Linked DNA regions of Xenopus tropicalis. The protein of the gene in region 2 purifies or fractionates together with the protein of the main gene of each other region. This does not show direct contact. Links are inferred from orthologs where the notes say so. Each region holds a gene or a part of one and is shown on either strand. Other genes may lie near its edges.

Evidence for each region. The genes of interacting proteins can lie anywhere in the genome.
Region 1: the proteins of bbs7 (region 2) and bbs4 purify together in Homo sapiens (co-immunoprecipitation; 7 studies listed by BioGRID and IntAct, counting the BioPlex papers as one, with this or other methods). This does not show direct contact. The link is inferred for Xenopus tropicalis from reciprocal best matches to the Homo sapiens genes BBS7 and BBS4.

The regions. Positions count from the first base shown.
Region 1 is NC_030679.2:92,229,358-92,235,793, reverse strand, and holds part of bbs4 (Bardet-Biedl syndrome 4 protein homolog), read right to left. Parts: intron 6,298-6,436; coding exon 6,229-6,297; intron 4,672-6,228; coding exon 4,519-4,671; intron 1,477-4,518; coding exon 1,305-1,476; intron 1,204-1,304; coding exon 1,134-1,203; intron 211-1,133; coding exon 72-210; intron 1-71.
Region 2 is NC_030677.2:66,815,552-66,821,226, forward strand, and holds part of bbs7 (Bardet-Biedl syndrome 7 protein), read left to right. Parts: intron 1-537; coding exon 538-612; intron 613-1,014; coding exon 1,015-1,080; intron 1,081-1,305; coding exon 1,306-1,445; intron 1,446-2,132; coding exon 2,133-2,297; intron 2,298-3,318; coding exon 3,319-3,428; intron 3,429-4,665; coding exon 4,666-4,769; intron 4,770-5,675.

The sequences.
Region 1 (6,436 bases), on a different chromosome or scaffold from region 2:
TATATATATATATATATATACACATACATACACACATTTTCTGATGTGTACTTTACATCTTGTTCCCTTACCTCAGGGTCAAACTCTGTGGAAGTCTCCCTGAGAGCACTGACTTTGCGCTCAAGCTCCTGGTATTGACCCAAAGCTCCTTTCTTGTCTCCTTGGTTATATAGCAGAACTGCAAAATTCAGATTCACCAAAGGATCTGTCCTGGGACACAGTAAGATTAACAACAGGTAATCAATACAGGCTAGGGAAATGAACAGATCAGCATTCCAAGAGCTTAGGAAAGAAGAGCCTAAAGGGGTGGCTCACCTTCAAATTAACTTTTAATATGTTATTGAATGAACAATTCTTAGCAATATTTCAACTGGTCTTCATTTTTTATAGTATTCAAATTATTTGACTTTTTCTTAAACTCTTTCCAGCTTTTAAATAGGGGTCACTGACCCCAGTAGACAAAACAATATTGCTCTGTAAGGCTACATTGTTCTTTGTATTACTTATCTTTCTAAGTATTCATATTTGGACTCTAGCAGCTGCTAAAATTCCAAACTGAAGAGCTGAACAAAAAGCCAAATAATTTAAAAATCACATATAATAAAAAAATAAAAGACCAATTGCAAATTGCCTCAGATTATTACTCTCTACATCATACTTAAAGTTAACTTAAAGGTGAACAACCCCTTTAAAGACTGGATTGTGGAAACCACCAGGAAAACCATTAAGTGCTCATACACATGGGTGTGTTAGTGACGCGTTTTTACTGCTTCTTAAATGCTTTATAAATGCATAAAGAAACTGAAATAAAAAGCAAATTGAGCAATACTTATAAAAGTATATTCAAGCAGCTTGAAAATGCACTGCGGCTGCATTTATTATTATTTATATAGCGCCATCAATTTACACAGCGCTTTTGCTTTTATTTGTGCTTATTTCCACAGAGTAAAATCATGTACGCTCTCCATGTGTATATAAGTAAGGGCAACAGAGACCACAATGACAGAAACAGCATAAAGAATGCATAAATGACTGTAGGGAATAAATGGCCACCTATAAGGGCAAATTGTTTTTAAAATTTCCAAAAAAAAAATAAATAGATGGGGTATGATCAAACACTGTTCTGAACTCACTGATCCAGACTTGCTGCCTGCTGATATGAGCTCTTGGCATTTTCAATATCATCCAGATATGTGAGTGCCACTGAGGAGAGAAATATCATATTAATAATATTATTGACAGTGATTAAATAATTTGTAATAGAGTGTATAATTGGACTTGTGGGAGGTTTGTATGCTACGTACCTGCCAGCAACATGTAAAGGCCAGCATTACCATGGTGAAGAGAGATGGCTGCACTTAGGAAGTGGAATGCGGAGGCATACTGCTGCATGCTGAGATGGACTAGGCCCAAGTTATACAGAACTCTCCAGTCAAATGGGGACAGGTAAAGTGCACGCTTAAGACAACTAATGGCCTGCAAATGAGAAAGCAATTATCATGGACATGAAAAAGCCCTTCTAGCCCACACTGCCATCTTCTTCCAGTCTTCCATGCATTCCCTGCTGGGCTTAGGCAAAGGCATGTACAGTACAGAACTTTTCTTGGGGTTTCTGAACTGAGCATGCACCCTCCTAGCATTGGCACAGGGACTCCTAGGAAAAACAAAGTAGATGGAGGCATGGCATGCAGCAAACTGTACCCTGGGTTGGTGCATTTCTTGAAGAGGAGTACCAGCCCAAGAAAACAGGTAAGTGGACTAGGATCACTGGGGGTGACTAACATCTTGGTAGCCCCAATGTGCACTTGTTTTGGAACCACTCATTAAATAAGACAATATCAATGTTCACTATTTTCCAGGCATTTTATTTCTAAAAAGATACAGTGTTCTGGGTGCAAGAGATCACTACAGTATATACAATTACAGCACAATTTTGGCTACTCAGAGACATGATATTGTCCTTCAGCAAATTTAAAACTTGTAAGTCAAACTGATGTAAAGAATACAAGTAGCTTTTATAATGGAGATTATTTGCATGTTGAGATACAGGAAACATATTTTGTGTGGAACTTTCCTTCTCTACTTGTAAATAATTGGAAGCAGCCATACAACTGAAGAGTTGCACTGCTATAACATATGTTTTCACACTGGAGGTGCCCAAGGTGCTGTCTAGCAATAGTAAGGGATATTCTATTAAATTTTAACATGAATAGCCCAGGCAGATTACTAGAATAAATATGATGTCAGGGAACATAGCTAGATACTACATTTGACAGTTGAAAATGTTTATAAAAGTACAAAGAATAGAATTCATGTTCTGTTGCACTTAGCACATCTGTGTATGGTTCTTTACTGTTCTTTAGTGAAAAGTAAATATTACAACAGAGTGCAGTGCTACTAATCTCTGCCATAAACACTTCTCCTGTCTCTGCGCAATAAACCATGGATTTAAGTACTAAGGCTCATGGCCCACAGGGAGATTAGTTGGCCGTGGCTACTGTGGGCAACTAAACTCCTCGAAATGCCTTTCCACTGACAAAGTGAATCCATGATGGAATGGCATATGCCTTGCTTCCTTTTCCGAAGTCAAGCAGGAGTAAACTTTGCATGTTCGAAAAAACAAAACAATATTCATTGCCTTTTCACCAACAATTCACTTTGTTGCTTGTGGAAAGGCATTTTGGGAAGATTACTCGTCCGCAGTAGCAGAGATTTAACCTTAGGCAACTAATCTCCCGGTGGGACATCAGCCTAACAGAATGATCTTATACGGGCAGTGATGCAAGTTGTAATCCTCTTTGCTATGAAGATCTTTCCCTGCACCAGAATACAGCACAGTTAGCCTGTGACCTGATTCCCTTATTCAACCACTTGTTCTAACAACTTGCTATGCGTGGGCACTGTAAGGATAGATGTTAACAAACAGCAAGTCCTATGGATTGCTTTCCACTAGATTTGTATGGGTTAAACCAGTCTTATTTTATTACAATGCACAACTATTGCACATATACAATAATTGCTTACAGTGTTTTGCATGTGTGCATATATACAAAGCACAGTTTAATTTTTATAGAGAAAAAGGAAATCAATTTTAAAAATCTGAATTATTTGATTAAAATGGAGTCTATGGGAGACAGGCTTTCCCTAATTCAGAGCTTTCTGGATATCGCATTTCTGGAGAAGCGATCCCTTACCCGTAACTATATTTTTGGCTACATATATCAGTTGTACACATGGATTGTTTAAACAGTCCAACAGAGTTATTTGGTACAGCTTTATGGCAACAGCCCTGCAAATTGATATTCTACTGTGATTTTTAGTTTTTACTTTAAAGATCTAACTGAAATCATGTTGTCTGTAGTGCAGGCCCAGACTGGCAATATGTGGGTTTGGGCAAATGCTAGAGGGGCTGCTATAAGATGCCATAGACAGTCACTATTTAGTGGGCTGTTTTGGCCTCTGTGTACTTGAAATGTCAGAGCCTATTTTGAATCCCAGTCCAGGCCTGTTGTTGTGGGCCACAAACATCTACAGTGAGGAACATAAGTATTTGAACACCCTGCGATTTTGCAAGTTCTCCCACTTAGAAATCATGGAGGGGTCTGAAATTCACATTGTAGGTGCATTCCCACTGTGAGAGACAGCATTTAAAAAAAAATCAGGAAATCACATTGTATGATTTTTAAAGAATGTATTTGTATTGCAATGCGTATCAGTATATGTCATTTCTCAATGTAAAAGTACTTGAGCACATGATGAATTATGCAGGAGAAAGAAAACAGCCCAGCGGCAAAGTCAGTTCAAGAAGTACTTGCTTAGGTGGGTGTGCATGTTAATCATTCTGTAAGAAATATAGGTTTCTCCTGCTGGGGAGTAATCATTAGGGTGTCATTAGCAGGGAATAATGCAATAGCTGTTACATTCAGCTACTAACAGGTTCCTCGTTATATGCAATTTTAAACAAAGGTAACACTGTACTTCAAATGAAAAGGTTGTTTGCTTCCAAAGATAAAGTCTGGTGTGAATGACTTAAATAAGAACACAAATTAAAATAATGCCAAACCCAACATACCACATACCATACAACCAGACTCTAAGATATTCTGTGCACAATAACAAAATGGAGACGGCAGCTGAAATGTTTGATGCAGGTGCGAGTGTCTGGGCTGGGAAGCGTACCTTAAAGAACTCCATTAACTATTATTGGGTCTTATGTTTAAGATATTTAGTTACACTTTATCTTCTTAATTATGATATTCTTCATATCAGTGGCTTGCAAAGCAGTGACATAGCATCAAATCTGATGGCCGCTTAATTTGAGGGTCAGTCCTTATTTCTTGGAAATCTTGGAAATCCCCAATCTGTTACATCAAGGTTTTTATATATTTCTAATTCTGTTTAAGATAGCCTTGAAGGAAATACCAATCTACAAAGTTGGGCCTGAACCCAAAAAGTTTGAAGGCTCCTGTTCTTGATTATGAAAGGAGGTACAATATAAAATCATAAGAGCATACTTACCGCCACATACTTCTTTTTCCCATAAAAACACATGCCAATGTTATTCCACAAAGGGGAGCTTTCAGGGACACTGGAGGCTGCAACTCTGTACTTGCTGAGGGCTACATCATAATCTCCATGGGACTGCATCATACAGCCTGCTGCTAATATACCCTAAAACAGAGAATACTTTATGCAGTCAAGCCAAGTATGATATAGTACACAAGCTTGGCATTTAATCAACAAAAATTAAAATAATTACAGGCTGAGGCCAGATTGAGACCAATATCCCATTTAGACTGAACACTTATTTATTTATATTCCCAAATGTATATAAAAAGTAGACTATGCAAATAATGACACTAGGAATCTACAACACCTTTAGTAAATCACACTGCCTGAAACACACAGCTCGCTACAAATATACTTTGAGTCTTATTGGTGATGATTGCAGCAGTAAGAGAAGCATTAAAAAAAAATAGATAATATATAACATAGGTTCTTAATTGCAGGCCTGCTGGCTGGATATGGTGCTCCAAAGCATTTTAAGACAACCAGTTTATATAATTTGCCCTGAAAACATGTCTTCTTATGTACACAGAACATGAAATATGATGTATAGCACTAATATATTATTGCAGGCCTTACTGTGGCTTCTACAAAAAAAAAAACAAAACACATTAATTCTGTAGTGATGCTGATCCTGTTATCATGCAATCTATGTGCTTTTAGTGACTTGGTTACTGTGTTTTGTGTGGAAATTCAGTATAAATCTTAAATTTTGCTTAATGAAAAAATTTTTAAAGCAGATAATAATAAAGAGACAAATATAAAAAAAAGTACTAACATTAACAATGAAAAGTATGTATATACTGCAATAGAATTAAACTACTGCTGGTAAAAAGTTACAAATGGCGATGTGCAAACGTACATTCCCAAATTTCCCTTGCTAAATTTTGTTATTTGGCTACTAGAGCCCAATTTTATAATTCTTATTATTTACATTTATTTACAAAGCCCCAACATATTCCACAGTGCTTAACAATTAATGAATGTATACATCAAACATACAAATTACATACTTAAAACAACAGATTCCAGAGGGAAAAAAGCCCACTCTGAGGCATAGTCTAAGGCAGTGATCTCCAATCAGTGGCTCGTGAGCAACATGTGGCTTACCAACCCCTTGGATTTTGCTCCCAGTGGCCCCAAACCAGGTAGTTATTTTTGTATTCCTGACTTAGTGGCAAGTTTTGGTTGAATAAAAACAAGATTTACTACCAAATAAAGCCTCCTGTAAGCTGATATTGTGCATAGAGGCTGCCTAATAGCCAATCTTAGCCCTTTTTTTGGCACCTCCATGAACTTTTATGATGCTTGTGTTGCTCTCCAAGTCTTTTTACATTTGACAGTGGCTCACGAGTAAGAAAAGTTGTGGGCACCTGGTCTAAGGCAATAAATTACGTGAATAGAGGATGTGCATTCTGGAGCCCCTCAGCTGTTTGACTGCATCCCCAAATAGCCAAACTCCGGAGATGCAGTTCAACAACTGATGGGATGTAGGTAAGATAAATATCTAACAAAGTCACAAAATCGTATGTCCTCTTTAGACCAGTTTTTCAAGAAGGGGCCCCACTGATGATGGGGTTCAGAGCAAAAACTTTTTTACCATCTTCTAAATCTAAATATTTTGAGAAACCTGCTGCTATGACTGCAGAATGTTTACCTTACCTTATAATTACTAGGGTCATATGTGAGAGCATTCCCAAGGTATTCAAAAGCTTTCTGGAACAACCCATTCTGTGGATAAGCATAATATGAAAAGTAGAAAGAAATGAAACTGTCAAGCAAACAAACAAAGTAGAATTATCAAAGGTTTGTGTGGATTATAACAGGAGCCTATGCAGGCCAATCTGGAGAGGACATGGCAGATAAGGTA
Region 2 (5,675 bases):
ATGGATTTTCTAACCTGCTGAGAGCATTGTTGGTGGTTTAAAATTATTTGGACATTGAAGGTGAACAACCCCTTTTAAATATTATATATATGGTTTGGTTGTAGCTACTACTTGAACAGGAAAATCTAACCTGTGAACTACTGTTCTGCCAATAAGTACATATTATGTATTCAATGCACATTTACTGGCATAGTATTTAATCTGAATGCCTGAGACAGCCTCTATACAGGCAGCTTCTTATTTGCTTTAGTGAGAGTATAAAACAGGAAGAAAGATATGTAGATTACCGGCATCAGTGCAGTCATTTTAATATATACAAATTGCCTTCAACATTGCAGCAACATGTTTTAAGGTTTATTTATTATATAAGGTTTGGTTTCTCTTCAAGGTGATCTTTACATGGCAATTAAACCTCAAATGTGGTTAAAAAAAATAGCCAAATCAATAGTATTGTGAATCCACAGTAAGAATAGATGTTTTTCAGCCTGTGGAGTGGAGTGAGAGGTATCACAGTGCTCATGATATTGATGTTTACAGAGTGACGTCCCTGTGGATCTGCTGGATGTCGACAAGAATTCAGCTGTGGTCAGCTTCAGCGGCTGTGATAATGAGGTGAGAAGTACTTGTGCGAGGATCTAAGAGGCATCTTCATTTAAACCCTTCAGCAGGAAATTGTATCATTTATGTACATGAGAAATTATACACTTGCTCAGATATCTCACACATTACAGTGACGCTTCTGGTATGAGGCAAGGTAAATAATGTACTTTAGGCAGCACTTTACTTTAAGAAGAATTAGTGAGTGCAGAAGAGCTAGGAGAAAGTGGGAGGGATTGGCTTTGGCTCTGCTGCCTCTGGTGGCAATGTGCCAGAAGGTTGAAGGTAATTCAGCAGCAAGCAGAGTATCCATTGCTCAGATATGTGTATGTGATTCTGGTTTCTCTGAGCTTTACATTCGTATTGAAAAAGTTTTGTAATAATTCTTAGCTGATTATTTCTAAATCTTTCTTACAGCCAAATGGCAACTTCCTTCTTGCTACCTATCGTTGCCAAGCTAACACCACACGGCTTGAACTCAAGGTAAAACAAGCATTTAGATTTATTTCAAGTAAAGTAGGAATGAAAAACCCAGATCGAGTGTACATGTGTAATACTCTCTCCCTCTTCTCTTACTATCTCTCTCTATATATATCTTTACTTATAGCAGCTGGGATTGCACACTATCCGTAGTGTTTTTTGCAGGTTACCTTTTTTTTCTCTTTTTTTTGCATTAAGGCTGATTTATTTTTTCATTTATTAAAACAGATTCGGTCTATCGAAGGACAGTATGGAACCCTGCAAGCATATATTACACCTCGCATTCAACCAAAAACTTGCCAAGTCCGCCAGTACCAGATTAAGCCTTTGTCACTTCATCAAAGGGCTCATGCCATTGATCAGAACAGGTACACTGTGCCAGAAATGTTTTTTTCTACACTGCATGGGAAAGCCAAAAGTATTGTGTGTTTGATTGAAGAAAAATAATGAATCAGCAGTTCAGCACTTCAATAAGGCTATGCCTCCACCCAGAGGTTTACAACTGTTGAGCAACATTATTACCTCAAGTGAGGCCTAAGTAAATGATAGATCAGTCTAGCCTGAAGGCTAGCTTTCTGTGTGATTTGAGATGACTGCTTATTTGCTTTCAGAAACAAATCAAATGCCACCCTGAAAGTCAGGTAGTAGATATTTGGGCTGAGCACATTGCTCTTGTAGATATTCTTGGATCTTTAGGAAGGTGACATTAGCACCCTTAAGCCCATTAGACTCTGTATTGCACATGTATGAGCAATTAAACAATGCCTGACTCACTAATATGGCAACACAGTCAGATACAATATTAGGACAGGTAGAGGATTTTTTTTAATAAAGAAGAGCACAGGCTGGCAGAACTTATCATCTATTAAAGTTTGATGTTATCAAACATCTCCACCTTTTATTTTGGCTCATTGTTCTTTAAATATATTTACTATTTTGGAAGGGAACATATATTTAAAATTAAATAAATAAAGCTTCATGAAGGAACAGACCAAAAGTGGATGAGAGTATGAGTTATGCTAGACTGACAGTAATGATATGTGCATGTATTTCAGGCCCATGAACACGGTGAGCCTGACTGGCCAGTTCAGCTTTTCAGACATGCATTCCTGGGTTGTATTTTGTTTACCTGAAGTCCCTGAGAAAACTCCAGTGGGAGAGAACGTCACCTTTTACTTCAAGAATACCTTTCTGGAAACGCAGCTCGAATGTACATACAGGTAAATTGTAAAACTGGGTTCTTCAGAATCATTTCCGCCAATTAAAAGCACGATTGGAAAAAATTTGGAGTAACCACAATAATTTCTAATGTGCAAAAATTCTTTTTTTGGTCATACGAAAATATCGTGGTTGCGATCCGAAAGTCACAAAATGTTCATATCCGAACGATCGTTAAAGGTGCGAGATCCTTTCTGGCTTTAAAACTTAAATGCATGATTTTGGAAGCCTCCCATAGGACTCAATGACACTCTACAGCTCCAACCTGGCCAAAAAAAAGTCACAATACCAAAGCTTAAATGAATTCCGAAATTGTCGTAGTCTTTGCAAAAAATACAAAGTTTTTGTGGAATTTAACGAAAACCACGAAAAAGTCTTACTATTTTAACGATATTGTTGTAAATACGAAAAGGTCTAACAATTAGAAAAAATACAATTTTTTCTTATTCGTGGTCAATATAACCAGGACTGTTATATATAATGTTCCAGAATGTGCAATCCATTTACAGGTATGAGACCTGTTATCCGGAATGTTTGGGACCTGGGGTTTTCCAGATATTTCCATAATTTGGATTTCTGTACCTTACTACAAAAATCATTTAAACATTAAATAAACCCAATAGGTTTGTTTTGCCTCCAATATGAATTAGTGCAGCTTAATTACGATCATGTACAATGTACTGTTTTATTATTACAAAAAAAAAAAAGGAAATCATTTTTAAAAATCTGGATCATTTGATTAAAATGGAGTCTATGGGAGATGGCCTTCCTGTAATTTGGAGCTTTCTGGATAACTGTGTCTGGATAACTGAACCCATACCTGTATCAAAACTTGTTAAAACAAAAGTACTTCAGTCAGTGGGTCTTGTGCAGCATCAAAATATTATGTTCATTAAAAAAATATATATATGTTGTCACTGAAATGTCTTCTGTGGACTTCCACAGGAAATGAAACCTATATATAATATATTATACATATATATAGCATTGTCATTCATGCTCACCTCTTTTTTTTTATCACAGAAAGGGAGAAGGATTATTTAAATCTGACAATATATCAACAATTTCTATCCTGAAAGATGTGCTGTCAAAAGAAGCCACTAAAAGAAAGATTAATCTCAACATATCATATGGTATTTTGTCTAATTTACTTTCCCTTACCTAGCCTTATACAAACATACATTCCACTGTTCAGTGCTCTTGTTCTTGAAATGTATTACTTTTGTGAGTATTTATTTCTTAATATACTTTTTGTAATCTTTTATAGTGCAGTATATCTCCACCTTTGTATTGCAGACTAACACAAGCTGTTTGTTACCGAGTCTGGAGATATTTCAAGTAGTTCAGTTATGTGTGCCATCTAGTTAGGAAATGTTGATGCCTTATTATAAATATATTAGAAAATAGAAATTATATTCATTGTAAAAAGAAAATATTTCAAATCCATATTCATTTTATCTGAAAGAGTATTTAGTTTCATCAAAAATATAAAATACTAAAATATTTTAATGAATGTATACTGGAAAATTATTATATTGAAAATAACAGTTAAATGTTATTTTTGAATTTATATCCCTTTAATACTACTGACTTGTTTCTCAAATTAGTGAAATAGGTTGCTAAGTTTTTCCCCAGGCTGGTGCTCCTGGAGGGAACTGCACCAACCTGTAGAAAAAACTGTCTGAGCACCGCACCGGCATCTCCTTACCTTACTTTCTTATTTGAGTGCAGTGGCCGGTAAATGGTAAGTAAATTGGCGGCATGGCGCTCAGACAGTTTTTTCCACAGGCTTTTAAGATTCTCTTCTAACAGGAGCACCAACCTGGGAAAATAATATAGCAACCTATTTCACTTAGGGGGCCTAACATTTTGGAACCCCTCCATAAAATAGACTTTACATGTCCTGTAATACAGATTCCCTTTGTAAATGAGCTATTCCTTATTACAAAGGCTGCAGCTTAGGTATTAGCGGGGTTTTTTTATACAAAGCTCATTATCTCCCTTTGAAATATTACCCTGTTTTATTTATTGTGCTATTTTCAAGCCAAGGTGTTTACTGCCCCTTTGAGGGAAGATAAATTGTTAAAATGTCAGTAATGGCACTTCTGGTATAAAACATGGCTTTTACTGCTAAGAAACAAACCTAGAACTTTATAATGTAAAAGAAAACAAATTTATGTTATGGCCTTTTAACATTATTTTTTAAGAGCTGTTCACTTTTCCTGAGCTCAAGGGTAATGTTAATGAATGTTAATGCAGTTTGGATAGTAATTACTAGAATGAATGTTACGGTTCCTCCATGTGTAGCAAGCTTTTGCAGTCATCATATAAAACTAACTTTTGCCTCACTTCTTCTTTTGGTTTGTGCAGATATAAATGAAGAATCTGTTGGGCACACTTTGAAACTGATTCATCCAAAACTGGAGTACCAATTGCTCTTAGCCAAAAAAGTACAATTAATTGATGCTCTGAAGGTGGGTAATATGTGTTAGGAGCATTTCTTCTTGTGTGAGCTTTTAGCTAATTAGCTATCAATGGGTCTGTCTATGTTTCAAAATCATGAATGTCAGCATGCTAGCCAGTGTTGGATTACACACCCCAACTTTAAGATCATAAAAGCAACTTTTCTCCTTTGGGCACTGGGGGTTGAGGTAATCATTGTGGTAAAGCATTTTTCTCACAGAAGCAAGACACTGATATCAACAGGGCTGACACATGGTTTTCCCTTCTCTGCATTTTCTAGAATTACACCAGCCAGCTCTAGCCTTTCTGTGTCTTGTTGGTAACAGGTTCTACTGTCGCATACCCATCTGACACCCTAAGCTTGGCTGGTGTGAGACTCTTGCCCTCGTCATTTCCCTTTGTGGGAAGGATTTCACTATTTTGTCTCATTGTCCCTCTCACCTGTTCATTTTACCAAAGATTAAATCATAGGCACTTTAGAAAAAGGCATTGATAACATGTAGCATGTTCCAGTCTGGGAGAGCCAAAAAAGTTTTTTCAGGTTCATGGTAAAGTAATCCTCAGTTTGTGGCTTATAGTCTCACACCCACTCCCTGCATTTTCACAAAAGCAGTGGCAGTTCAGGGCTCCCTCCCAGCATCCTGCAGCTCCCCACCCCAGCATCCTCCAGCTCCACTCCCCAGCATCTCCTCAAAATCCTCCCACCAGCATCCTTCATCTTCCCCCCCCCCGCGACCTGCAGCTCCCTCCTCCAGTGACCCCCTGCTTCCTCCGTCCTTGGCTGCTTCTGTCCCCCCGGCTCCCTGCTGCATCCTTTTATATGGTTGCGCCACATGCGTGGTGACGTCATGCGCACGCACGGGGCGCAACCAATAAAGGCCCGTCATTCTTTTAAGGGGGCCGGAGTTGGCGGGCCA